Linked DNA regions of Drosophila melanogaster. The protein of the gene in region 3 interacts with the protein of the main gene of each other region in a pairwise test. Each region holds a gene or a part of one and is shown on either strand. Other genes may lie near its edges.

Region 1 (7,696 bases), on a different chromosome or scaffold from region 3:
TGATAGCCTGATGCTGGCATAAATAATAAATTAACCTGCACGTTCGAGCGCTTAAATTATGAAATCAATATCTAGATACTTTTACTGCCCCGCTGCCGATGAAAGTATACAATCAAAAGTTTAAGGATTGCAATTTATCTGAGAGTTTGCGAAAACTTTTTGCAACAACAATTTGAATTGGCAGAAGAAAAATACAAGAGTTGCTCAAGATTGTGCGGAACTAGAAGAAAAATAAGCAAATACTTATTGTATTTAAAAAGTTTTTGTATAATAATCATAGAGTACTTTGATAATACGAAATTCTTTAAGAAAATCTTCATAGTTTCTAATTTGGCTAAAATTTTTAAAACATTTTGCAATAAAGCCGTGAAATATTTTTGAAATATTTTCTCAAGTTCCGCAATCAACTTTTTATGCTGCCAATTATGAAATTTGGCCACATTTGCTGTGCTCTGCCAGGAAAGTTGATTAAAGCCAAGGAGTTTGGAGGCCGAGAGAAGAGCCATGAAAAGTCCAAGGCGCTAAAACTTTTTCCGACTTAAATAGAATCCTTCGCTCCACTCGCATGCACCTACTCCTGCCACTCTACTTTTTCATTTAGTCCTTCTTTCTGCCACACGCGCTGCTTTCAAAATAACTCTGGGATACACAAAAAGACATCCTGTGGCCTCCAATGTGTCCCTGTGTGTGTGTGTGTGTGTCTGTGTGTGTCTGTATGGGTATGGGTGTATGGGTGTTTGTGTGGGGAAAGGTGAAACTTTGGAACTCCTTGTTGTTGCTGCTGCTCCTGGCGCCGCCGATTGTTAATTCAGGACTACGAATTTGGCTCGAAAGACGAACGGCAAATTAACGAGGATTCGAAAACGAAAGAAATACGAAACGGGGAATGCACGAGAAATGCGTATAAAAATATTCATTTTGCTCATAAATTAAACGATTTGCACGATGAAAGCGGGTAGACCAACACGCGCGCAAAACTAACGGAGCGGCGTCTCACACACACAAACACACACAGACACACACATACACACACACACACATGCACTCTGGCATATATCCTGGCAGGATTTCGTCCTGGCCCATGTTTGTATGTGTATTAATGCCGCCGCAGAGCTAAGCGCGCAAAAACCGACAGATACACGAGCATTTAACACCCAAAAAATGCGTGGCGCATGTTGAAAAGCTGCTCCGTTTCGAGCAACTTAAATAGGTGGAAACAAAAAACGCCGCGTTTGCATCGTAATTTTCCATTTTATGCTGGGCATTTTCTATCTAGCACCACGCAATTTTCCACATTTTTCACATACTCATCGGTTTTAGCAATTATTTTGTAATTCTTTTCGGTCAGGCACTGGTTCAACTTTGGATTTCCGGTGGCAGCGCCCACAATCGAAGCGTGTGCGTTCGCGTTTGTGTCCTGTACTCAATTGTGTTCTCCGAGCGGTCGGCCAGCACCAGTCACATCGTAATCCTTGCGATTGGGTCGCCGATGCGAGTGCGCGCGTTAAGTTGTTGATTCCGCAAAAGCTCTCTCTGCGATTCCTTTCGCTCTCGAAAGTCCATCCCCGAAGATAACCGGTTTGGTTTGAGTCCGAACTTAAAGGATATGCTGCGCTAGCGGTGACTCGAACCTTTCGACAGAACTCAGTTTTCTATAGATCCACTAAGAGATAAACTATCTATAAAGTTTTAGAATTTACTTAAAGTTTTAAATTACAAATGTACATGCGTGATTCTGGTATACTAGGTTCAGTTAAACAAACGCCGTCACAACTGCAGCACAACAACTTTGTCCTGGTTCGATTGGCAGAGGAGCAATAAAAAAATAGTCATATATCTCACAATGCCCTAGCGAAGCGCGCTAAAGCTTAGAATGTGGCATGGTTTCGTATAAAGTACACGTCGTACTCCTTCTCGATCCACTTGATCAGCTTGTCCACGTACTTGATCACAGTGGCTTTGTCCACAACCGGCTCGAATATGGCGTACAGTTCGTAGGTTCCGGTTGCCCAGGCCAGGACCACCTCGCGCTCCTTCATCTCGTAGATAAGCTTCAGCGGGCGACTACTGTTGTGGATGCGATGCAGCAAGTCGCAGTAGATGGCCTCCAGGCGCTCCAGCTCCGTCAGAGATTTGTACGGATGCCTGAGCATGGGACACAGCAGTTGAGCTGTGCTCTTGGGCTTGTAAAGAAAGTGCCGCAGCTCGGGGATTCCCACAACCTGTTGGTAGAGTTTCGCATTGAACGGCTGCTGCAGCTCCTCGTTGATGGCTTCCAAGCAGTGGCTTTTGCGTAGCTTCTCCGTGATCTTTGCCTTGGCCTCTGCCAGCGTGAAAAAGGCATCTCTGTCCACGGACAGCAGGAGCAAACAGGCCTGGCAATCATCCGCCAGGTACGAGACATGCGCATGCAGATACCCATTCATGTCGAACTTGGGCAGGCAAATTGGTGACCAGTTCTCGGAGCTCTTGAAGGACTCGGAGCACTCTACCAGGTTGAAGATCAGACGCAAATCAGCCGGATGGATGGAGTACTTCTTCATGCGCACCAATGCTATCAGTTTGTTATTGGCAATTAGCACGGCAAACACCAGGTTCTTGATCTTGGAGCAGTTGCTCTGAATGGCGCTGGTGATTTGCGATCGTATCGTTGTGGGCAATGGGAAGACGCGAATTGAGTTGGTCAAAAATGTGAAGATGTTGTTGGACACTAAAAGAAGTCGTTGAGAAATTAAGCAATTTGGATATGCTTAGATATCCTTACCCTTGGCACTACTACTGTCGTTCGCCAACAGATTGTAGAACAATCGTTCGCTGCCGGAGAGCAGTCTCCTCAGATCAAAGTTCTTGCGCCTCTCAAAGATTTTCGTCATGTGTGAATACGTCAGAATGGACAATATTTGATTGTAGACATCCCTGGTAAAGAATGGGAAGTTCCCATTAGTTAGCATTGCTATCAGGTGCGTTATAATTGACTCACCCCAGTTGAAGCTGCAGCTGCTGCACACTCATGTTGCTCCTGCTGGCAGCCACCAGGATGAGCGAGCTGCGTTGCATGAAAGCGAACTTAATGCCGCCCGCATGAATGGAGGTAATAGCATCCTGGCCCATTTGGACGAAGCTTACCAGTGCCTGAATGACACCGAAAAGCGTGGCCAGTTTATCCTCATTGCCGTGTAGCGAGAAGATTGGCTTTCCCGCCTCGCTTAGTATGAAGATGTGTTTCTTTTGGCCCTGCCACAGACTGTCGTGCTGGTAATCGTATTCCTCCTCCAGTCCCCCGCCAATGGAGTCCTCTGTTTTGGCGCTGGTCGAGGTGCTCAATGCCAGAGACTCCACAGAGGCAGCCAGTCCCTTGTTCTCCTGCCCCGGCTCCGGACTGAGGGCACTGTTATCTCGCATGGTGCCCAGGCCATCTCTTAGCTCAGAGATAATACTATGGTTTTGTTGCTCGGCCTCCTGGTCGGGATCCGCCTCTTGATAGAGATTTGGGGACTCCGGATCGCCCTCTGCGTCTAGATACTCGCAGGTGGAGTTCGTGTCCGACCTGACTGACGTCTGCTCTACTTCCATTTCGAATTCGTTTAACTATTTCAGTCGCTGGAACATTGCAGTTTGCCAATATTTAGCAATATCATAAATTTACAACTAAATCATTACAGCTGGAATGGATTTCCCAACACTGTCCGAAGCAGAAGGTGAAATAAAGGGTGTTCCGGAAAACACACCATAAGATAGGCTTATTCATTCTTAAATGTTATGAAAAATAAGTTAATTTGATATATGGATTTTGAATTACTTTATCTTAATAATTATAATTAAATTTTTATATCTGTTATTTTGTTTTTGTTTTAAGACCTCTTATAGAAACACTTCTATCCAACACTACCCACCAGCTGTTTACCAAAATCGACGGAAAAGAAGAAGAACATAGGTTATGAAAACACGAGCCGCTCCAAAATGTTGAGAAAATCGTTTGCCAACCGTAAGTAATCAATTAAAACATCAAGGAAACCAAATTATACATGCTTTCCCTTGGTAGTACCCCGCTTTGGTCAGATGTGCGGTCTGCCACGACGCCTGCAGAGCACACAGCCGGAGCAATCGGTGGAAACGGAACCGGAGGACATCGCCCTGGTGGAACAGCGGATTCTGAAGCATCCGGACTACTTCCAAGTGCACAACCTGTTCACCGTGCGCGACCTCTTCAATGCCCGAGTGCACTATGGCCACAAGGAGGGCTCCCTGGACGACCGAATGCGTCCGTACTTGTTCGGCAGTCGATTAGGTCATCTGATCTTCGATCTGGACAAGACGGCATCACATCTGCGCGATGCCCTCAACTTTGCCGCACACATTGCCTTCCGAGATGGCATCATTCTGTTCTTCAACCGCAACGCCATGAACTCACATCTCGTGGAGCGAAAGGCCCAGGAGGCCGGTGAATTCTCGCACACTCGCTTTTGGCGCGGCGGCATCTTTACCAATGCCAATGTGCAATTCGATGCGGTCACCAGGCTGCCCGATCTTTGCATTTTCCTCAACACTCAAAACAACGTTATGGCTCAGCACACGGCGGTTCGGGACGCCGCCAAAATGGCCATACCAACGATTGGCATAGTGGACAGCAATTGCAATCCCAACCTGATCACCTATCCGGTGCCCGGCAACGATGACTCGCCGGCCGCAGTGGAGCTCTATTGCAACCTCTTCAAGGAAGCCATACTGCGTGGCAAGCGGGAACGACGCCAACTCCTTGGCCTTCCGCCTCTGGACGAATCCCAGCCGCGGCGCAGTCGCAAAACTAAGTAATAGCCAAGTAGTAGTGTCAAGTTGATTTTGTTACATTTATCTTAATACAAATGCCAATGGCCGTCAATCCACGATGAAGAAGAAATTGCTAAATATGGTTGCAAAATTGCAGAACTTTGTGCATGTGCCATGCTATTTGATAGTGTTTAAGAAAACCCACGACCTGGGTTAGTTTCGGATAGCTATTCTAGGGCGGCAGCAGAGTGGCACCCTTGACAAAGTTGTTGCTGTAGTGGCTGAAATACGAGGGATTGGAGTTGGACCCCGTGTTGTTGGAACTTCCAGAGGGCCAGTAGTTGGTAATCTGTGGTGGGGTGTCAGGTGGCGGCGGAGGCGGCGCTGAGGTACCAATGATGGAGAGATCCGTACCGCCTTTGATGGCACGGCCGGGACCGAAGAACGTATCCATTTGCTGCTTCTTGAAATCATGCATCGACGCAAAACCATTCGGCGGCCTCTCCTTGGACATGTCCCACGAGCCGATGCTGGATGACTTGCGCACGAACACTTGGCCCTTTTCATTCTTGTCCTGCTCCACCCAGCGCTCTGCATGCTTCACCGTCAGCATCGCCTTGTGCGCAACTATATACTCCTCGGCCTTCTGTAGTCGTTCCAGTTGCTGCTCGTCCAGCTGGTCGCGCGGCAGCTTCCCCAAACGCTGCACCGTTCGCTTCCAGTTGTGGAACTCACGGTTTTTAAAGGGCTTCATGGCCATACGGTACTCCTTCCACTGGCGCTGGCGCTCCTCCTTCGTACCAGGCGGTGCATCCTCGAGCGGCGGTGGTGCCTCTGGCTTCTGTATCCATTGGCCATTGACCTGGACAAATGTGCCGCAGCGCTTGGGCTTCTTGGAGGGCTGCGCTTCCCCGTTTGACGGCGAATTGTTGCCATTGCTTGGCGGTGGGGGCGGAGGCATAAGCCTCGTATCTTTGTCACTGTTGCCGCGATGGTTTACCTTGAATTTCTTGTTATTCTGGTTTGGATTGCTGCGATTGTTTTGTGCTCCCTGCTCCTTGGGTACCAGATTCCACAAGCTGGGGCACTTGGGCATGGGCGGTTGGATTGGTGGTGGTCTATGTTGTGGCGACATCATGTCCTCCCAGAACGGAGGCGGCTGCAGAGGTCGGTGATTGTGATTCCGGCGGGGCCCAGAACCACGTGGTCCTCCAAAGCCCACTGGACCACCGGGGCCCATACTGCTCATGGGACCACAGGGACCCATATTGCTTATGGGACCGCGAGGTCCTCCTGGTCCCATTGGCCCCATGGGGGGACCGCATTGTCCGGGTCCAGGCCCAAAATTGCCTCCAAAGCCCATGTTCATCAGCTGCATAGGAAGTGGAGGCGGTCGATTCATCGGAGGATAGTTCCTGTCCTGGTAGCTTTGCGGACCTCCGCCTCCATGAAAGGCATTGTTGCTATTCGAAGACCAATGTTTACGTCCGTTGCCGTTGTTGTTATTGTTGTTGTTGTTACTATTGTTATTGTTGCTCCGTTGTAGTCCGCTTTTGGTATCCGGTTTCAGTGCATCCTTGCATTTCTTCCAATCTGCAAACGACATTTTCAGCGGCTTAGTTTCAGGCTCATCTTTGCCGGACTCCGGAACGACTTCCTTGGAATCCTCTGGTGCCGCCTCCACGTCCCCGTTTTCAGACATCTCGCACCTTAGAGAGTGGGAATACACTTTATAAATATATCAACTTAATTTTATTTGAGTTTTGCTTAGCGATGGCAAACAAAAATTTCAATAACAACAAATTGAAGGAACAGCCGATGTTTTCTATCGATATTTTCGTGCTTAAAATTTTAGGGAGTTTCCCCTGAAGTATTTTCTTAAGAGTCCTGTTGTTCTTAAAAAAGAACAGTAGTTTCCAAATGTATTCTCTAAACTTTCCGCTATACCAGTAAATCTTCATTTGTTAACTAGTAAGCGATATATTAATGCCCAACGTAATATAATATATATTTAACATTTTCGATCCCATGCAGACACAACCGGCGGGGAATAGTAATTGCCCAGCGTCCAGATACCATAGTGAATTGTTGGTTATCAGCGATAAGTGTCTGATTTCGTAACATTTATTTCATATTTAAATTTAAATTTTAATACGAACACATCTGTGATGCGAAATTGATGTGAGCTTTTTGACTGCGCTTTACGTGAACTGGTCTGGATAGCTGTGGCGCATCTCTAAAATCTAACGTGTTCGATCAGGTGGCAACACCCACCGTAAAAAACGATTTTAGTCGCAGTCGCAGAGATTTTGGTTTTGGTAAGCTCTAGTAATTTATTGGAAATTACGATCCAAAATACACCGTTTTAAGAGACGTTTCAATCGGCCATTAAAGTAAATAATAAGCGCGACGAAGACTAAACATCAAAAGTGTTGAAACTAGAACGAGAGTGCAAAGTCGGTCGCCAGCAAAACGCGTAGTTTGCTTATTTTAACGAAAAGCGGCCAGTGCCATTAAAATATTACTCAATTTCACAGAGAATTTTGGCCGAAAACGGATGCAATATATGGATATATAGACCCTGTTTCCTGAAAGTTAACTTCCTTTTTGTTCTACGCCCAACACGGTCGTCAACTGCGCTGCCATCGTCGACGTCGGCAGAGGCCATTCTTGTTGTTGCTATTCTCGACATATGATTCAATAGAGCGATCGCCTCTCTCTTTCTCCCTCCCACGGACAATTTCAGTTTTTTGTAATATTTCTGTTAGCTGTGTTTTAGTTGCCCATGTTTGTTTGTTCTTGTTGTTGTTGCTGCTGCTGCTGTTGCTGCAGCGGCAGTAAGTGATATTTAAAAAAGAAATGAGTTGTTCGCATGGAGCGAAAGTCGAACTGAAATAACACAAATGGTCGTCCGTTTGTCGTTCCCATT
Region 2 (8,276 bases), on a different chromosome or scaffold from region 3:
CGATATCACGATCACTTCGGTGCGCGAGCGAGAGGGTGCTATGCGCGGAGGGCGGCGGTGCGAGCGAGCAAGAGCGATGGAGATCGTAGGTCGTATCTGGGAGATGCGCGATGCGCTCGAGCGAAACACGTCCGTAGCTCACGGATTCTGCGCTTTCAATAAACTTGGCCAAGAGCCGCTGCTCCAAGCTCGACTTGGCTAAAGCCGCGACGTCGCCAGCGACGCCGACTGCGACGGCGGCAGAGTGTCAAGTAAGTAAGTTGGGAAAAATGGGAATTTCGAACGCGCGAAAGCGTTATCTATTCAAGAGCCTTTTTCAGCTTCCCCCCGAATTTTCCAACCCTTCTGATCGCCATGTGTGTGTGTACTACTATCAACCGGAAAAGAGTGCAAAATAATTATTTTAATTACCCCAGGTGATCAGTTTTTTTTTGCATACTGGTCTCTCGCCACACTTTGACGCACTGCCAATGACGTTCAAGGTCAGCCGAGCAACATGATCGGATTCAGATATTAACCCCTGTAAGCCAACTTTTGTGTTATCTTAAAAATGCGTCTATAGCACGAATATCTTTATGAGATTAGTAGATATGACGAACAAGATAATATATGTAATATGTATTATATATTAATATCAACGAAGCAAGCATACCAAAATAGAAGTTGATCCCGCATTTCGATAAGGTGTTAATATTAACATCCAGCTAACAGTCGCCTAACATTAGTGCTATTCGCTAAATGATTTACAAGACAATAGCTAAATCGCCTCCCAAATAGACACAACTTTCGCATAAATTAAACACACACGAAATGCAAATGGTTATTGAAAACGAATGTGCTCCGTTCGGTTTGTTTATTTTGACAGGTTTGGCTTGATTTTTGGAAAATTATTATGCTAACAATGCATAAGTTATGCCTTCCATGTGCCACAGATTCGCCAGATCCTGTTCCCACAGCGAGTTCTTGTTGTTCTCGACTCCATCTCAATTCATTAATACAATATTTGACAATCGCGGCGTTGACATAAACACATTTCAAACTTGCCTGTTTCAGTCTGGCTCAGTGCATTGGGTTCTTGACTGGTCTGAGTCAGAGAACCAATCGATCGATCGATCAGACTTTTGGCAGATCAGCGTTCAGTAAAGATGCGTTGAGTTGGTCGGCGGTGTCAGTGATCGATGAACTTTTGGCATTTCGGCCCGCCCGGCTATTGACGCGACCGGTGATTAGATCATCGCACCTCGTGCTCATAAGTCATCACCTTTATGATCGCCCCCCATATGAAATTCTTTTCATATTTTGCATATAGAAGGTAGTTCAATAGTCTCGTACTTTAGTATCAACGATATGTTTCTGTTACGTCCTTGAATAACCATCTTCTATGGTCTTCAAACTTAAGTGCGGTAATGATCGCATTCGAAAGCCAACCGTGACCATATCTTCAGATGTCTCTGGAATGTAATTATCATTTGGCCCGAGCAAATCTTCTTTTTTTTTCAGCGCCCATCACAAAAAATTATGTCAGCTTATTGGTTCCGCATTTGAGCATTTGTACCGGCATTTGGCTTTCGACGATCAAAAGAGCTTCAAAAAGAGTTTCCTCGCCCCATCAGTTGGTGCAAATGGGCGTAGTTTGAGGAAAGGGGTTCACATAAATTGTAGCAGTATATATAATATTAAATTCTATAATCTCTAAAAAAGCTTATTCCTGAGAAATATATCTTTGAATGATATCTATTTGGAATAGCCCCGAAAACCATGCCACTGCGATGTCAGTGATTGCCCAGTTGATGGGGGGCAGTGGTGTCGGGAATCACGGCTGTTATTATTGTAACAATTACAACAAAGCTATTGCCAAATGGACCGCGATCCCGGCAAATGGCCAACGGTAGCGCTGTTGGAGTGGAGTATTGGGCGCCCAGCTCCTCCGCCCATAAATCAAATCGCTAAGGGACGCACAAAGGGGCCCAGCTGAGACAATGCCCATCAATGGGCGGCTGGCGTCGAAGAAGTAATCAAAATTGTATTACGAAAACAAACGTTTTTATACATTTCAGGCCGCTTCGTCTCGTTTCGTTTCGTTTGGCTTGGTTTCTTTTGGCTTTTCGGCTTTTGGCCACAACAATGGCAACACGCTGGCATCTCGGAAACTGCACAGTCAGCTAAGAGCGGCAACAAAGCGCCACATATTATTTACTTTAATAGAGTCGGCTCAGTTGGGAAATGTCGCCGCGACCCTTCACCCAAAGCGCCGTATTAATTGTTTATCGTCATTAATGTCGCACAACAAAGTCCAACGGTTTTTCACCATGCGAAATCCGACTTGTATATATATATATAATTTGGATTGGGGAAGCCCGAGTATATAGGCATGTAAATTTCAAACTTAAGTGCTCTGTTATGGTTGCTTTTCAACTTTCCAACTTTCATGAAGAGATCTCAAGATAACATTTTGTATTCATAAATTAAAATCTGATTATTTTTAACAAGTTTTATTAACAATAAATTCTAATTTCACCCGATACACTCATTGTTTTTCAGGTTTGAAATTCTATTTTAAAATTCATGGTGAGTATTGAGTAAAACAACACATCAACACATCATTCCAAAAGAATGCCGCCAATAAACGAAACAACTCTCGCAATTGCTGATTTGCCAAATTGTTTATGTTATTAATGATTTGGTAACCCGTTTCGTATCGATAAAATTGAATAAAATGCAATTTGCTGAATGCACACAGCCCACATGGAAAATGTGTTTTTCGAAAAACAACACAACAAGCCGAAAAAAGTCGAAAAGTCAAACAAATTGGCGGCTGAGACCAGTTTGCATTTTGAATGCTGAACCAGTTGGTTCACAACTACAAGAGCGGCGCATCTTCTGTAAAAACAACAACGTTTTTATTGCAAAAATATTGAAAAATGCGTTGACAACAACAAGCATATACATAAAGTCGCCTTTGTTGGTCACCGTGACCTTAACACAAATTTTGATTTTAGTATTATATCAACTGACTACGTGCATGGGTTTTTTTTCTGGTTCCTTCAACAAGTCGGGATGGTCTTTCATTAATAAAATTCCTTGGCGGCCGAAAGATCTGCATGAGTCATTTGGCCGCAGAATATATGGCGGTTCATTGAAACAAAACCCGAAAATACCCAAAACACAATAACAAGACAGTGACAAGCTGGGGATAGGAAAGATCCAAGCGAGATCAATTAATATTCTGTCTCGTTGACGGTTTCGCTGTGACTTTTTGCTAGCCTGCGTGGGGTTTTTTTTTCCTCATAATCGAGCATTCACACATAAGCCGAGATTTGCGATTTGATCTGAGAAGAAAGTCAAGAATAACCAGAACGGGTTTCAGTGGCTTAATGCGCTGAAGTTTCAAAGATCTGACCTTTTTGCTTGCCTTGGCGCGCACTTTTGCAGATTTTAATGGACACGGTTTGTTTGGCTGGCGGACTTAAAAATTTAATTTATTTTGAATTTAAATGAAATCGGTTAAGAACCGTTTCAAAATGACGTCAGACTTGACCAGTGTACGCTCCAGGGTGACCATGCAGCTTGAGGTTTTCAAAAAGTATTGTCTATCGATAACTTGTGAAGAACGCGGGCTTCTTTAAATTATTACATACAATTTAATTTTACTACTTTAAATTTATAACATTAAACTAGAATAAAACTATATACGTTTTGTGAAACATGTTCTATGCAAACATTTACAATCGCATTTTCCTAACTGCACTAAATTATTACTAGTATATTTTTCTTTGTTGTTTTGGGGCTGGCATACGGTCACACTTTGGGGATGATTTCTTCAATGTTAATTTCTTTAGACCCTCGGAAAACCACAACAAAAGGTGCGGATCGACATCCAAATGAGCTCCCTGTTCCGCAGCCTGAACCATTTTTCTTCGAAACGGGAGAATGTCGTGAAGGAGGCGCTCATAAATACACTGAACGAAAATGCGCGTGAGATAGAGTTCGAGGTGAAACAGAAGAGTTTGGGTGAGTTCTGGGTACTCCCCCGGAAATGGCCATCCATTTATATACATTCACGTATTGCAGAGGTCCTGGGAGTATGTGAGCAGACCAGTGCCCTGTGCACCACCCTGGAGGCCCTGTTCCTGCACGGGCTGAAGGACTCCTTCCTGTCCGCCACCTTCAATGTCATCGCTGGCGATGTGGAACGCAGGCCCGAGCCCAGCTTCTGGGCGCCCTGCATGGTCTTTATGCACAAGCAGGTGATCGAGCAGGTGCAGGGTCTCAGCCAGATCACCTCAGAGACGGGGCAGTGCCGCGCCTGGGTGCGCCAGTCGCTTAACGAGTCTGTGTTCTCCTCCTATCTGAACAACATGCGCAAGAACGGATCGGCCCTGTCGCAGTACTACAAGCGAAACGCCCTTATGCGGGACTCCGAGGGTCTGGAGACGGCCGCCAAGATTATGGAGAGCTTGGAGGCCTATGTGCAATTCGATCTGCCAGTGAACTCCAGCCTGTTGAACCACTGGCCCGACTACTCCCTGCAGCTATCTGATCTCTGGACACCTGCTCTCAAGTCCTGCCCGGTATGATCTTTTATCCTGCCAAGAATGTTCGGCTTAGACTTATCGTATAGTTCAACAATCCAAAATTCCTATGATAAGAGGGCCTTTCCTGGTCTTTATCGCTACAAGTGGACTAATTTGTGTATACCATTGCAGATTAGCAGCGGAGTTGATGTGGCCAGCTCGCTTGGATCCGATATCATTGCCATACCGACGCCACAGCCCCTGCAGACCAATGAACTGTTCTCGGAGTCCATTTCGAATAGCCCCTTTGGAAGGAATAGCAACTTTGGTGTTCCCGAACTCAGCCAGCGAGAGAACCTGGACCTGCTGATACAAAAGTTTGATGAAATGGATGTGATTAACGAGGAGCAAACAGGTGGCGATAAAGCGGAAACGAATGAAACAGCAGAGCAGGAAGCTCCATCTGGCAGTAAGACGAGGTCGAGGAAAAAATCCAATCGTCAAATGGACAGCAGCTCCTTCGCCGATCTGGATCTTGAAGCACCTTCTCTTCTGCCCCAGGGCAGTAATTCTTTGTCCAATCTAATGCAAACCTCATGGTCTGGTGACTTGGAAGCAACGCCTACATCACCCACAGAGGAACTGACAGGATCTAGGTTTTTCCAGCGATCTGTGAGCGTCAGTAGTTCAGTCAGTCTGCGTTCTCCAACTACGGACAGATGCAGCTACAATGCTCTGTTGCGGAAACACGAAAGCAACCGGGAAAGTGGAGCCGGATGGTCGGAGATCTGGGAGAAGTTTCGGGCCAGTGCCTCCAACCTCAATGTGGCTCAGCCTCAGCGAGATACCGATCCGCCCATTTCAGAAGACTTGAGTGATCTGCAGTCACTGGACGTAAGTTGGTTGAGAACTAAGATTATTATAAATTAAATGCTATCTTATTATAGACCAACTCGGAGTTTGAGCTGCTTACCTCAGAGTTTGACATGGTGGAGCTGCAGCAAATGGTGGCCCAGCTGTGTCAACTAGCTCGAGAGCCGGGTCTGGATGCCCAGGGATTCCTGTGCAAGAGCTGTCAGCATCCGCTGGGCATTGGCTACTCCAACTTTCAGTGAGATCATCCGTTTGTCCATTATTAATCCCACTTACATTTGTATCTACCCTTAGAGTTTGCGCCTTTAGTGGCAGCTACTACTGCAATAGCTGCATGGATGTTGAGATGCAATTGATACCCGCTCGCATCATTTACAATTGGGATTTCCGAAAGTACAGCGTCAGCAAGCGGGCAGCAACTTTCCTTGCCGAATTCCGATCGCATCCATTCCTGGACATGCAGTTGCTTAACCCGAGAATATATTTTGCTTCCGATGCCATGGCTGAATTGCAATCCCTGCGGATCCGACTAAACTTCATTAGGGCCTATTTGTATACCTGTGCTCCGAGCAGCATAGAGCTTCTCCAGAATCAGTTTGCTGGCAGGGAGTACCTTTACGAGCACATTCATCTGTACTCCATAGCAGATTTGGCTCTTATTCAGCGAGGTGTGCTGTGTCAGCAGCTGCAGAAAGCCTTCAAATTGGGGGAAGCGCATGTCTTGAAGTGCAGACTGTGCCACCTAAAAGGATTCATCTGCGAGATATGCCAGAGTCCAAGGGTGCTGTATCCCTTTCACATCAGCACCACATTCAGAGTGAGTCGAACTATCAAGAAATTGCAAGATGACAGATATTTTCATACTGGCGCTCACACATCTTTTTACAGTGTCTGGCCTGTGGAGCTGTGTTCCACGCTGAGTGTTTGAATGAGAAGCAGCCATGTCCCAAATGTGAACGAATACGTAAGCGCGAGGATCAGGGCCTCCAGGAGGCGGTGCAATGTCTTAAACAGAAGAATGAGGTTGCCTAAAATCGGCCATATTTAGATTTTAGGTTGAACAAGTGCGATTTGTTATTACACGTAACCAAGAAAAGGCTTTACTTTACATTTAAGCTAGGGTTAAGATAAAAATTGTTATGGCTTAAAAGCATTTACACTTACTCAAATATATAGCATACATAACATGGCTTTGCAAAAATGGTTACCAATTTTGTTGACTCAATGAAACCACTCAGTTGCTCAGTTTTTGAATGACTTCGTAATTTTATTTATAACTGCAATGATTTTGATTCGGAATAAAATGTTATGCAATTGCTGAATAATACTTCTAATGACACCAAGTCCAACAACAATGATTGAGTTAATAATAAGGATAATAATATAAATATGCATTATGTTCACTTCCAATAATTATCGCCCAATAAGGAGTTTAACAAACGTTTACCGAAAACCACAGATGATAGATAATACCTAAATACTTTCGAGATTATCACACCAACTCTCGTATTGCACATTGAACTAAAGAATTTTGAAATGGAATGTGGCGAGTTTCGTTGAAATGCCCTCGGTTGTGCTTCAGTATTTCATTGTTAACATATTTCTCTTGTTTGTGTGTGTGTATTGCTCTAGGGGATTAAGTCGTACAATAGTCGATTCTAAATATCGTATGTATATAATTACATTAATTATTTGTTGCTGTTGGGTTTTAACATGTTCAGTCTAGTAAGATATTTATGCAAAGAGGCGCGCTCCTAAATGTACATACAATCATTTACACCCGCCTATAAAAGGTATAGATGGAGCTGGGTAATTAATTTCACTAACTTGGTGCTAATTCTATATACAAATTTTATGTGCGGCTTATTTTGTTCTCTGCTTTAGCCATTTATTAAGTGCAGCCTGGGAAGACGCGAACGAATTATCGGTGATTTTTTAGCATGGGCCTGCCCTTTCTTCAGGTTCTCTATTGGGTCTTTTCAGTGTGCCATGGTATTTGGTTTATTGCACTTTTCATTGACTTTTGAACTTTTGCCTGTGGCACAAAACACTCCCGCTTACAACATACATCAACAACGAGCCACAAACACACACTCCACATGCACACACTTATGTATATACAGATCAAGCCCTAAGTTCAGTAGACGGTGGAGTTCCGCGGACCGATTCCAGGTGGCTGGGACTGTGGCCGTATGCTGGTGGAGCCACTGGAACCACCTGCCGCTCCGCCGTAAAGGAAACTTGATTGCCGGATGACTGATACCGTGGCGGCTGCCACGCCAGCTTGAGGAGGTGGAGCCGGTGCCCGATGCTTTTTCAGTGGAGCGTGCGCCGGCTTTAGCACTGGAGCTAATCCTCCTCCGAACCCGCCAGGATTAGGATTCGAGGTCGTATTATTGTTGCTTGCCACCGCGTTGTTGTTGTTGTTCACGCTGCTGTTTCCGGGTGCTGTTTGCGGAAGAATCGGAGTAGCGGGGAGAAAGATATATGTACAAACATGGATAGATATATAAAATAGCGAAGACTAACTAAGCCAAAAGGAGCTGCTATGATGCAAGCGAAAACGAAATACAAATGGTAAGAACACTTTTAGTGCAATATGCGGCAGAAGTGACAATGTGCACAATGTGCCTTGAAATTCTGAAATAAAGCTACAAAAATATTTCATAAAAATCAAAATTATATAGATTGAAGAATATTTTTGAAGTAATAATCTTCTGAAACGGACAAATGAATTTGAACCAATGACCAAGCGAAGAAATCTGCCGCCGAGGCAGCCCAAAAACTGGAGAAAACTTAAACACAAAATGAAACAAATGAAATATGTTCATGTATTTTATCCAAATGAATTTTGGTTTATTGTTTCTTCAAAAGATAACTTCGAAACTA
Region 3 (8,136 bases):
CAAGCAATCGGGAGCATTAGGCCCCATGATCTCAAAATCGCCGCTCCCGTTTGGCCAACTATCAAATGAACCTAAAAGTACAGCAGCATACTAAATCTACTTGACAAAAATTTGACATTATACCCAAGCCCGTCGTCTATGTACTACCTAAATCAGAAAAATATCTGTGTGTGAAATTATATACAAAACATACTATATATAGTTACCTATCTTATCTACCATATATACAAAACCATGTGTACTACTCTTATTGTTGTGATTTTTGAAATTTCAAGGCAGCCCAGTCTTATTAGCGGATGTTGGAAAAGCGTAAATTTATACTTGTATACATAAATTTATACACAGCTGGCTCTAAACCAAATGAAAGTTCGATATATCATTATTGTATATTATATTCTATTCCCCCTAAAATCGCATTCGTGTCCCCGTAGTAGTTGCGAACCGATTAAATACGAAAACTCTGCGTGTTTCTCTCCCCGTTTGAACTGAATGATGGAAAGGAGTTCGAGGTGCGTTGATTGCGTTGCGAAGTGAAATATTGTAAGGCGTGTAATTTATAACTGTACTATTAAATATATTAAAGTTAACTACGTAATTAAAAAAGGTTTTTTTTATTGAAAATATTTCGATGCACATATATTTAGGACCAGCGAACATGAATCACCTGCTTTGGCAGCCCGTTGACAAGAATGCAGCGCTCGTTGAGGCCCAGAGATCCACCGATTCCACCCGGTGGCAGCAGAAACTCATCATCTGGGTAGCCCTTGGGTTGGGCAAACTCTTTTAAATTTTCGTTGCTTTGGCTGAGCGTGTCCAGTGGCCAAACGGCTAGGTTACGAGATTTACCATGACGAGCCAGGACATAAAACTGCGGAAGGGCTTATACATTAATATTGGTCTTAATATGCCTAGCTTTTTCCACTCACCCGGTCCTGCGTGTCCACCAGATAACCTACAATCAAAGCCCAATGGGCTCGGTGTCCATTTTTAACGCATGGCGCATGGTTTACATCGGCATCGTAGCTTTTGAAATTACAATTGATTAAGGACAACCCATAGAAAAGATTTTTATATATTTATATAGTAAGCAAAAATTAAACAAGACATTATTTTTTTTAAAAGACATTTATAAACCTATTTAGATATAGCTTGTATAAATGCAGGTAATTGATTTAAAGCTAAACAAGACCCGCTAGCCCACCCGCATGGGTGGCGAAACCAGGATGACTCCATCGCCTCTAACGAATAGCATGGGAATAGTGCGCTTGGCGGTCTTGTACACCTCCTCATAGGTCTCCTCGTCGATCTCCACAGTGGTCACCGTCTCCTCCGCATCGCCGAGCACCATGTTCAAATGCTGATCAAAGGCCTAGATAAAGGTGTATATTGAAAGATTGCTGGGCAACAGTAAAAAGAGGCATCAACTCACGTGAAGACGTCCTCGCAGTTCCCGCTCGTTGCGCATCTTTACGTACACCTTCTCATCTAAACTCAATCGGATGAGATCCAAAGGCTCCTTTACCGGCAAAATCACCTGACTGAGCTGCAAGTACGGAATATAGAGAATATCCTTTTCGCTTTTATTCTTACACATACCTGCTCTGTTTCGTCGGCCATTTAATAAAAGTATTTGCACTTCTCGTTTACTTACTGACTGAAAATTGTATATTATTTTGCGAAACACAAAACGCTGTTTATAAGTTGCACCACTGAACTACCGCGAGTTTTACAACACTGCCAGACAACAGTGTGCTGTTCACCGTTTACAAGTGCTGTTAGGCGCCAACGGCTTTAAATGCAGGGGAATACCAAACTCAACCCGGGTTTAAATGGCAATATTTTTGAAAAAGGATACGGCACTAGTAGGCAGCCTCCGGCCTTTAAAAGTTCCTTGACTTTTTTGCAGTCCAAAGGACCTACATGCAACTGACACGCAGCAGGTCCTGGCATATGCTTCCGGGTCAGTTCAAACAAATACTGAGCACTAAATAGTTCACCATTAAGGGTATACTCCTGGTCGATTGCATCCTTGAGGAGATCATCTGCCGTGGGACTGCCACCAAGCAACATGCTGAGGGCCACTAAGCCACAAGTAGGTCCCACCTTCGGTGCACATACATATGTTATCGAATAACAAACTGAGAAATCTTTATTGTTTTCTAACTCACCTGCACTATGCTGTTTACGGAGTAGTATTGACAGTGTTTCGGTGGTGTATATTGGCAGACGCGACTTAAATAGCATCCTTTCTGCACCTCAGGATACTCACATGCCCAAGTGCACTCATCGGTGGTTATATTGTCCCCAACTGGACGTTCCTTTGTGGTAGCAGGTGTGCTAGGAGTGACTATCATGGGTGGTGGGGGAGGAGGTGGTGCCACACTTGAAATATTCGACATGGTATTTAGTTAAATAAATAGACTAAGCGAGTTAACAGACAATAGCCACAGCTGTTTTCGCAGACAAATATTAACAGGGCTGAGTTATCGATAAGCGATATTCTGTGTTCACCTGGTTGCATCTGTTCTACAGTGGGCACAAAGTAAATTAAGCCCACATAAAAATATCAAAATAAGCTTATTTGACTTTTATTGTAAATTGTTCAAGTTTATTCTTTAAATTAAACCAAAGAGCATGAGAATTCATAAAATGAATCTTTGGAAAAAAATAAATTCGAAATATACACAATTTACATATATGTATTACCAAAAACAAGGAGCAATTTTACATGGAATACTATTCATAGTTATAGGATATATCGAGTAACGTTATAACTAAACCAAATTCACGCTCGAATGTTATGCATAAAGAAGTTTTGTGGAGCTCAGCCAATTACAATAGAGTAGCCAATTCGATGGTGCAGGAAATTATGTCTGTAAATTACATTTAAAAAGTTATTCTTTTATTAAATTTACAATCACAAGATTTTTTGTTTGTTTAGAAGATACTCTGATGTTGTATTCTCAATGTTGCTGTTCTGTTGCAAAAGCCAGCAGCGGTTGCGTGCAAAATTTGACTAATACAATGGCAAAAATAGTACTAGGGAGATAGGCGGGCGGTCGGTCAGAAACATGAATTATTAAATACGAGTACACAGAGCATACTTATTCATTGAACGGTTACTTAGGTCGTAGGAAAGTGGGTATACTGGTTAAGCCTTTGCCAGAGGCTCGTTAAGACTCAGCTGATGTTGATCTGAATCTGAACTTTGCATCCTATCAGTTAATTAATTACTATGCTGTTTTGCTGAAATTGTTTTACTTAATCATATAACACCTTCCTCTATCGTCCTTTGTGTTGCTTGCTTCTCATGTTCATTATTATGTTGGAAATATTATTTAATAATATAGATTGTGTAATTATCCATTTTGCGTTGTTGTTACATTAGCACTGACAGTTGTCAGGATTGCCAGGACGATTGTTTTGCGAGCCCAAGGTAATCTGATCGGGGAAATCGTTGATAACTTCAGCCTGTGTGAAAGTACAAAGTTCGATTTAGTATGGAAAACAATATTTAAATAGGATTTCTTACCTCCGCCTCCAACTCTAACGCATTCTTGGCTATAACTTGAAACGCCATCTCCACGTTGATGCCCTCCTTGGCGGACGTTTCGTAGTAGGGTATATCGTTCTTAGATTGGCACCATTGCTGCGCTCGACGCGTGGACACCTGGCGGTTGTCCAAATCCACCTTATTGCCCAACACAACGAAGGGGAAGTGATCGGGATCCCGTGGACTGGCCTGTATGAGGAACTCGTCGCGCCAGGAGTCGAGATTCTTGAACGAGTTGGGCGCCGTCACATCGTAGACAAGCACGCAGCAGTCGGCTCCGCGGTAAAACGCCACTCCAAGCGACTGGAAGCGTTCCTGACCAGCAGTGTCCCAGATCTGTTATTGAAATTTTGCGAGTTATGTCACTGAAATAGGATTACTGGAAGTTCATAGTGCTTACCTGCATTGTGACCACTCGGTCGTTGACCACCACCTCTTTCGTGCAGAAATCAGCTCCGATCGTGGCTTTGTATTGGTTGGAGAAGCGTTTGTTTACATACTGATTCATCAGAGAGGTCTTGCCCACACTGCTGTCGCCCAGAATGATGACTTTCAGTAGGGATTTCTTACGTCCGGACATTTCGATGCAGTTTGTGGCGTTGGCTTACTCGGGGTTATTTCTTTTGGTATTTGGTGCTGAAAACCACAGAATATTATTGATTGTGTGTTAAAAATACCATTGCGGTTTCCTCTAATTCGATTAGGAAGTGTAGGGGTGTGATGGTTTCTTTCCTAAGATAAATGAAAGTGAACTGCGCAAACCTCTAGAGTCTAAACTACATGCCAATGAAAGCCGTAATCTCTGCCAGGACCTGACTGCCTAAGTGCTCGAAGTGCAAGCCATTCGCAGCTGTAAAATGTTTGTAATGACGAGCAGTTGTGCTACGCCGTGCTGGGTGATAAACAAATCGGGTGAGTCACTCTGAGCAATCCGCAGTGTGTGATCGCTGGACTGTGTGAACAGGCGGTCAGTAGGGGAGGGAGGTGCCCGCATCGAGGCGATAAAGCGTGATCACTATTGGCGCAGCGGAGAAAGTGCGCTGAGTACAGACAAAGACGAGGTCGAGCTAATAAAGCGGGTCTGGAATACCAGGAAAAGTGCCTGGGAAAACGCCCATTTCCTCAAAGTCCTCGATGGCAGGGGGAGTCACTATGGTGCAATCGAAAATAGTGCGAAAGTGGACTCTCCAAAGGGAGATAAACTCCCCGCCCCCCTTTTTTAGACCATGAACAACTTGTTTTTGTGCTCCACCATTACAACTACGCCACTAATTGCGTCGGTGTGCGTGGGTCTTTGTTGTGTACGTTTTTCGAGTGTGCGTGTGTATGTTTGATGTGGGGCTCCACTGGCATTTTCCATGCACTTTTCGCCTGCTGCGTAACACTCTTTTTAACGCTTTGCTTTTGCTATTCGCCTAATTCCTTTTGTAGTGGCACTCACTTTGAACACTGGTGAACACTCCAAGAGCTGTTTCTTTGTGGGGCGCTTCGGTTTTACTAAAAAATATTCAATTAATTACGCAGTGAATTTTGTTGTTGTCTCGCTAGGAGAATCGCTCTCATCTCTACTGGTCAGTACTGGTTATCGATAGTGCAGTCGTGTTACAGCTATCGGTAGAAGTTGACTATCTTTAGGCTGTCGTTAGCCAACACTTTTTTGTGGCCAATTAACGAATTGTATCCTATTTTTGTTGAAATTATCACTGAAAAATATTGAACAGCCAGGAAAAACCAAAAGCTGCTAAACGGTGGTCACCTGGGCTTACATAGGAGGCTATAATCGAAATGGCCACGCTTCCGCCGCGTAAGAGTCAGACCCCTACGAGGATCTGCATCTCTAAGCAGCATCTGACGCCGCTCCAAACATTGCTCCAAATGGGGTTTCCCAGGCATAGAGCGTGAGTTTTCTATGCATAGCGTATTGGCAGTCACCAGCTGCTCTAGGTTCCATCCAAGATATAGTGGCTATGCGTGCGAGTGACCCACTATGTTGATTTGTTTCATAGAATCAGAGTATTGATTTTTTTGCTTACCCCTACACAGGGAGAAAGCTTTGGCTTCAACTGGTAATCGTGGTGTCCAGATTGCCTCGGATTGGTTGCTGGCACATGTCAACGATGGCACCCTGGACGAGTGCGCCCCCAGGGAATATATTATATATGCTTGTCCCACGGGTCCGTTTCTGCAGCAGCTGGAGGAGTTCTGGGCCAAGTCGCGCCAAATGTGCGGTTGGAATGGAGCACACAACTACGTGCCTCACATAACCCTGGTTTCGTTTTTTAAAGTGAGCTTAAGTTGGATTATCCAGACTTTATTTATTCACCTAATCGAAATTACAGGCCCCCGATGAGTGCTCGCTGCAGCTGTCCAAGGCGCTCAAACAGGTGGTGGACATGACGGGCGCCTTGTTGGATCGCCCCCTTAAACTGGAGCCCTACATGAGTCAAAACTTCATGGGTTTTTTCGTGGCCGAGGAGGATGCCAACTATCTGAAACGACTGGCCCTGCAGTACGTGAAGGAGGTGTCCAACTCAAGTACGAATTATCCTTCTGTTGGTTGCACTCTCTTTGGGTTGTTTTGGTTTACCTTTCTCACGTTCTGTTCGATTCGGTTGATGGTTTTCCATTTTTCGGAGTGGCTTACACGGTTATGTTGTTCTCCTCTCTTCCTGCACACTTCTGGATAATCTGGGATATGCTGCACAGTCATTAGCGATACCTATGAGCAGTTGGACGCCATTGTGGCCTGCTTTCCCTGGTGCGGTGCTGTCTCCTCGGGCACCCGCTGCATTCCGCGCAGCAGTCGATGTAAGCCATTAGCTAGAGCCATTAGTTTGCATAAAATCGTTTTTGATTCACCCAAAAGTACACTTTCTTATCACTCTATGCATGCTTTAGTTGCACTGGTAGATAAGTTACTAATCTAATCGCCCTTTTGGCGAAATTCAACATGACGCTGCTAATTGTAGTTAATTAGTAGTAACTGTAGATAGCAAGGTGATCGATGTTTTTGGTAGCTACATAGTTAATTTGTTTATACCCCGTTTCATTTGTTTGAAAAATATTTCAGTTTATTATTAAAACCGATTAGTGTCACTATATATACAAAAAATCTTTGATTATTAGAAGACCAGAACTGTAGTTGATAAGCCCGTGACGTTTGGTTTTGCCCAAAGATAACTTTAAGTGACTATAATTCCTTATCGAAAAACATCGATTCACCGTGTTAGATACGAAAGCATATAACCAGCACCGCCTTCATTTCCATTCAGTAATCGTTTGTTCCGCCTAGCGAAAGGCTACTAATAGCTTCTAACTACCTGTAGCCATCTCACTCGAGCCACACGTTAAGAGCCTGCACCTGACGCTTGCCTACCAGTTCCCGCAGGCACAGTTTAATGCACTGAAAGCACTCGTGGAGACCTTAGACGCCAGCTGCGCTTCCAATTGGGAACTTCGTCTATATTCCCGCGATCCTCGGCTCGCCACCAAACAAGTTAGAGCTCCTTATAATCGATCGAGGATGAGTTATAATTTTATCTTGTACTTTTCAGGTTCAAAAGGTAGTTTATCCACACAACCCGCACGAGACGGATGAACTGGAGCTCCGAATCGGCGATTACATCTATTTGAATACCGAGGTAGTAGACAGTTCCAGTGACGGTTGGGCCGAAGGCATATCTTGGTTGACCGGAAGCACCGGTCATTTGCCCGTCAATTACACCGAACGCACCGCAGAATCGGACGCCTGGACCCTGCATCGTGTGGTCCAGCTCTCCAAGAGCGTAGCTTCATCATTAACTTCCGCCGAGGACTTGGACATTGTGGACGGACGCAGTATATCAACGGAGCCCGACGATCGTCAGAGTGAGTCGTATTTTGAATACAGTGATCCTGGATTAAGTTAGTTACATTGCCTCTCTCAACAGACACAGCACATCCTGATATAATTGAAGGCTCTTCGTTTGAGGAATCCGAACAGAGCGTGGAGAAGTATTTGAGACAGACTTTGAAGCCCTGCCTGGAACTACCCTCAGTGCAATTGCTAAACAGCCACAACTTGACCCATCAGCATAACCCTAACACGCCTACGATCGAGATAACGACCAATATGTCTTCTTCCTCCACCTCCATGTCCAAGCAACCGGTGGACGAGATCTTGGTGGAACCACCGGCAGCCCAGCCTCCGCGTCCAGATGACACACTTAGTGTACACTCGGACCACTCCTTGCATCCCGGATCCCTTGACGCCTCGCATGCCAAGAACAGAAAGATCTACATTATGCGGCATGGCGAGCGAGTCGACTTTACTTTTGGAACATGGATTCCATATTGCTTCGATGAGTTTGGAAATTACATGAGGAAGGATTTAAACATGCCGAAGACGCTGCCTCGTCGGAAGAACAGTCCGGAGGGCTGGCAGAATGATTCTCCGCTGACAAATGTGGGTGTCTATCAGGCCAATCTTATTGGTCAAGCTTTGCTGGAGGCTCAAGTGCAGATCGACCATGTTTACTGTTCGCCCTCGTATCGCTGCATCCAGACTTGCACCAGTGCGCTTGAGGGGCTGAAGCTTACGGGCA

Evidence for each region. Proteins that work in one complex are often made in the same cells at the same time.
Region 1: the proteins of Rab7 (region 3) and Mon1 interact in a two-hybrid assay, tested with the Drosophila melanogaster proteins (one study listed by BioGRID).
Region 2: the proteins of Rab7 (region 3) and Plekhm1 interact in a two-hybrid assay, tested with the Drosophila melanogaster proteins (one study listed by BioGRID).

Annotation. Positions count from the first base shown.
Region 1 is NT_033779.5:4,846,628-4,854,323, reverse strand, and holds Mon1 (monensin sensitivity 1), read right to left. Parts: upstream 3,684-7,696; 5' UTR 3,574-3,683; coding exon 2,981-3,573; intron 2,917-2,980; coding exon 2,765-2,916; intron 2,711-2,764; coding exon 1,869-2,710; 3' UTR 1,684-1,868; downstream 1-1,683. Other genes in the region: mRpS2 (mitochondrial ribosomal protein S2), read left to right, coding at 3,961-3,985, 4,043-4,812; CG11927 (uncharacterized protein), read right to left, coding at 5,000-6,469. UniProt on the Drosophila melanogaster protein: Part of the Mon1-Ccz1 guanyl-nucleotide exchange factor complex specific for Rab7 that promotes the exchange of GDP to GTP, converting Rab7 from an inactive GDP-bound form into an active GTP-bound form.
Region 2 is NT_033778.4:22,099,371-22,107,646, forward strand, and holds Plekhm1 (pleckstrin homology and RUN domain containing M1), read left to right. Parts: upstream 1-3,806; 5' UTR 3,807-3,881; coding exon 3,882-4,011; intron 4,012-4,071; coding exon 4,072-4,571; intron 4,572-4,706; coding exon 4,707-5,408; intron 5,409-5,461; coding exon 5,462-5,625; intron 5,626-5,681; coding exon 5,682-6,204; intron 6,205-6,275; coding exon 6,276-6,419; 3' UTR 6,420-6,593; downstream 6,594-8,276. Other genes in the region: Vrp1 (verprolin 1), read right to left, coding at 7,525-7,835.
Region 3 is NT_033777.3:23,989,999-23,998,134, reverse strand, and holds Rab7 (Rab7), read right to left. Parts: upstream 5,128-8,136; 5' UTR 4,995-5,127; intron 4,957-4,994; exon of another isoform or gene 4,859-4,956; intron 4,403-4,858; exon of another isoform or gene 4,316-4,402; intron 4,190-4,315; 5' UTR 4,134-4,189; coding exon 3,954-4,133; intron 3,890-3,953; coding exon 3,533-3,889; intron 3,472-3,532; coding exon 3,385-3,471; 3' UTR 2,683-3,384; downstream 1-2,682. Other genes in the region: LSm3 (uncharacterized protein), read right to left, coding at 1,193-1,369, 1,430-1,543, 1,597-1,617; CG33108 (uncharacterized protein), read right to left, coding at 641-868, 927-1,023, 1,856-2,103, 2,169-2,399; Epp (ecdysteroid phosphate phosphatase), read left to right, coding at 5,339-5,451, 5,597-5,837, 5,893-6,088, 6,260-6,361, 6,880-7,049, 7,108-7,420, 7,483-8,136. UniProt on the Drosophila melanogaster protein: Small GTPase which cycles between active GTP-bound and inactive GDP-bound states. In its active state, binds to a variety of effector proteins playing a key role in the regulation of endo-lysosomal trafficking.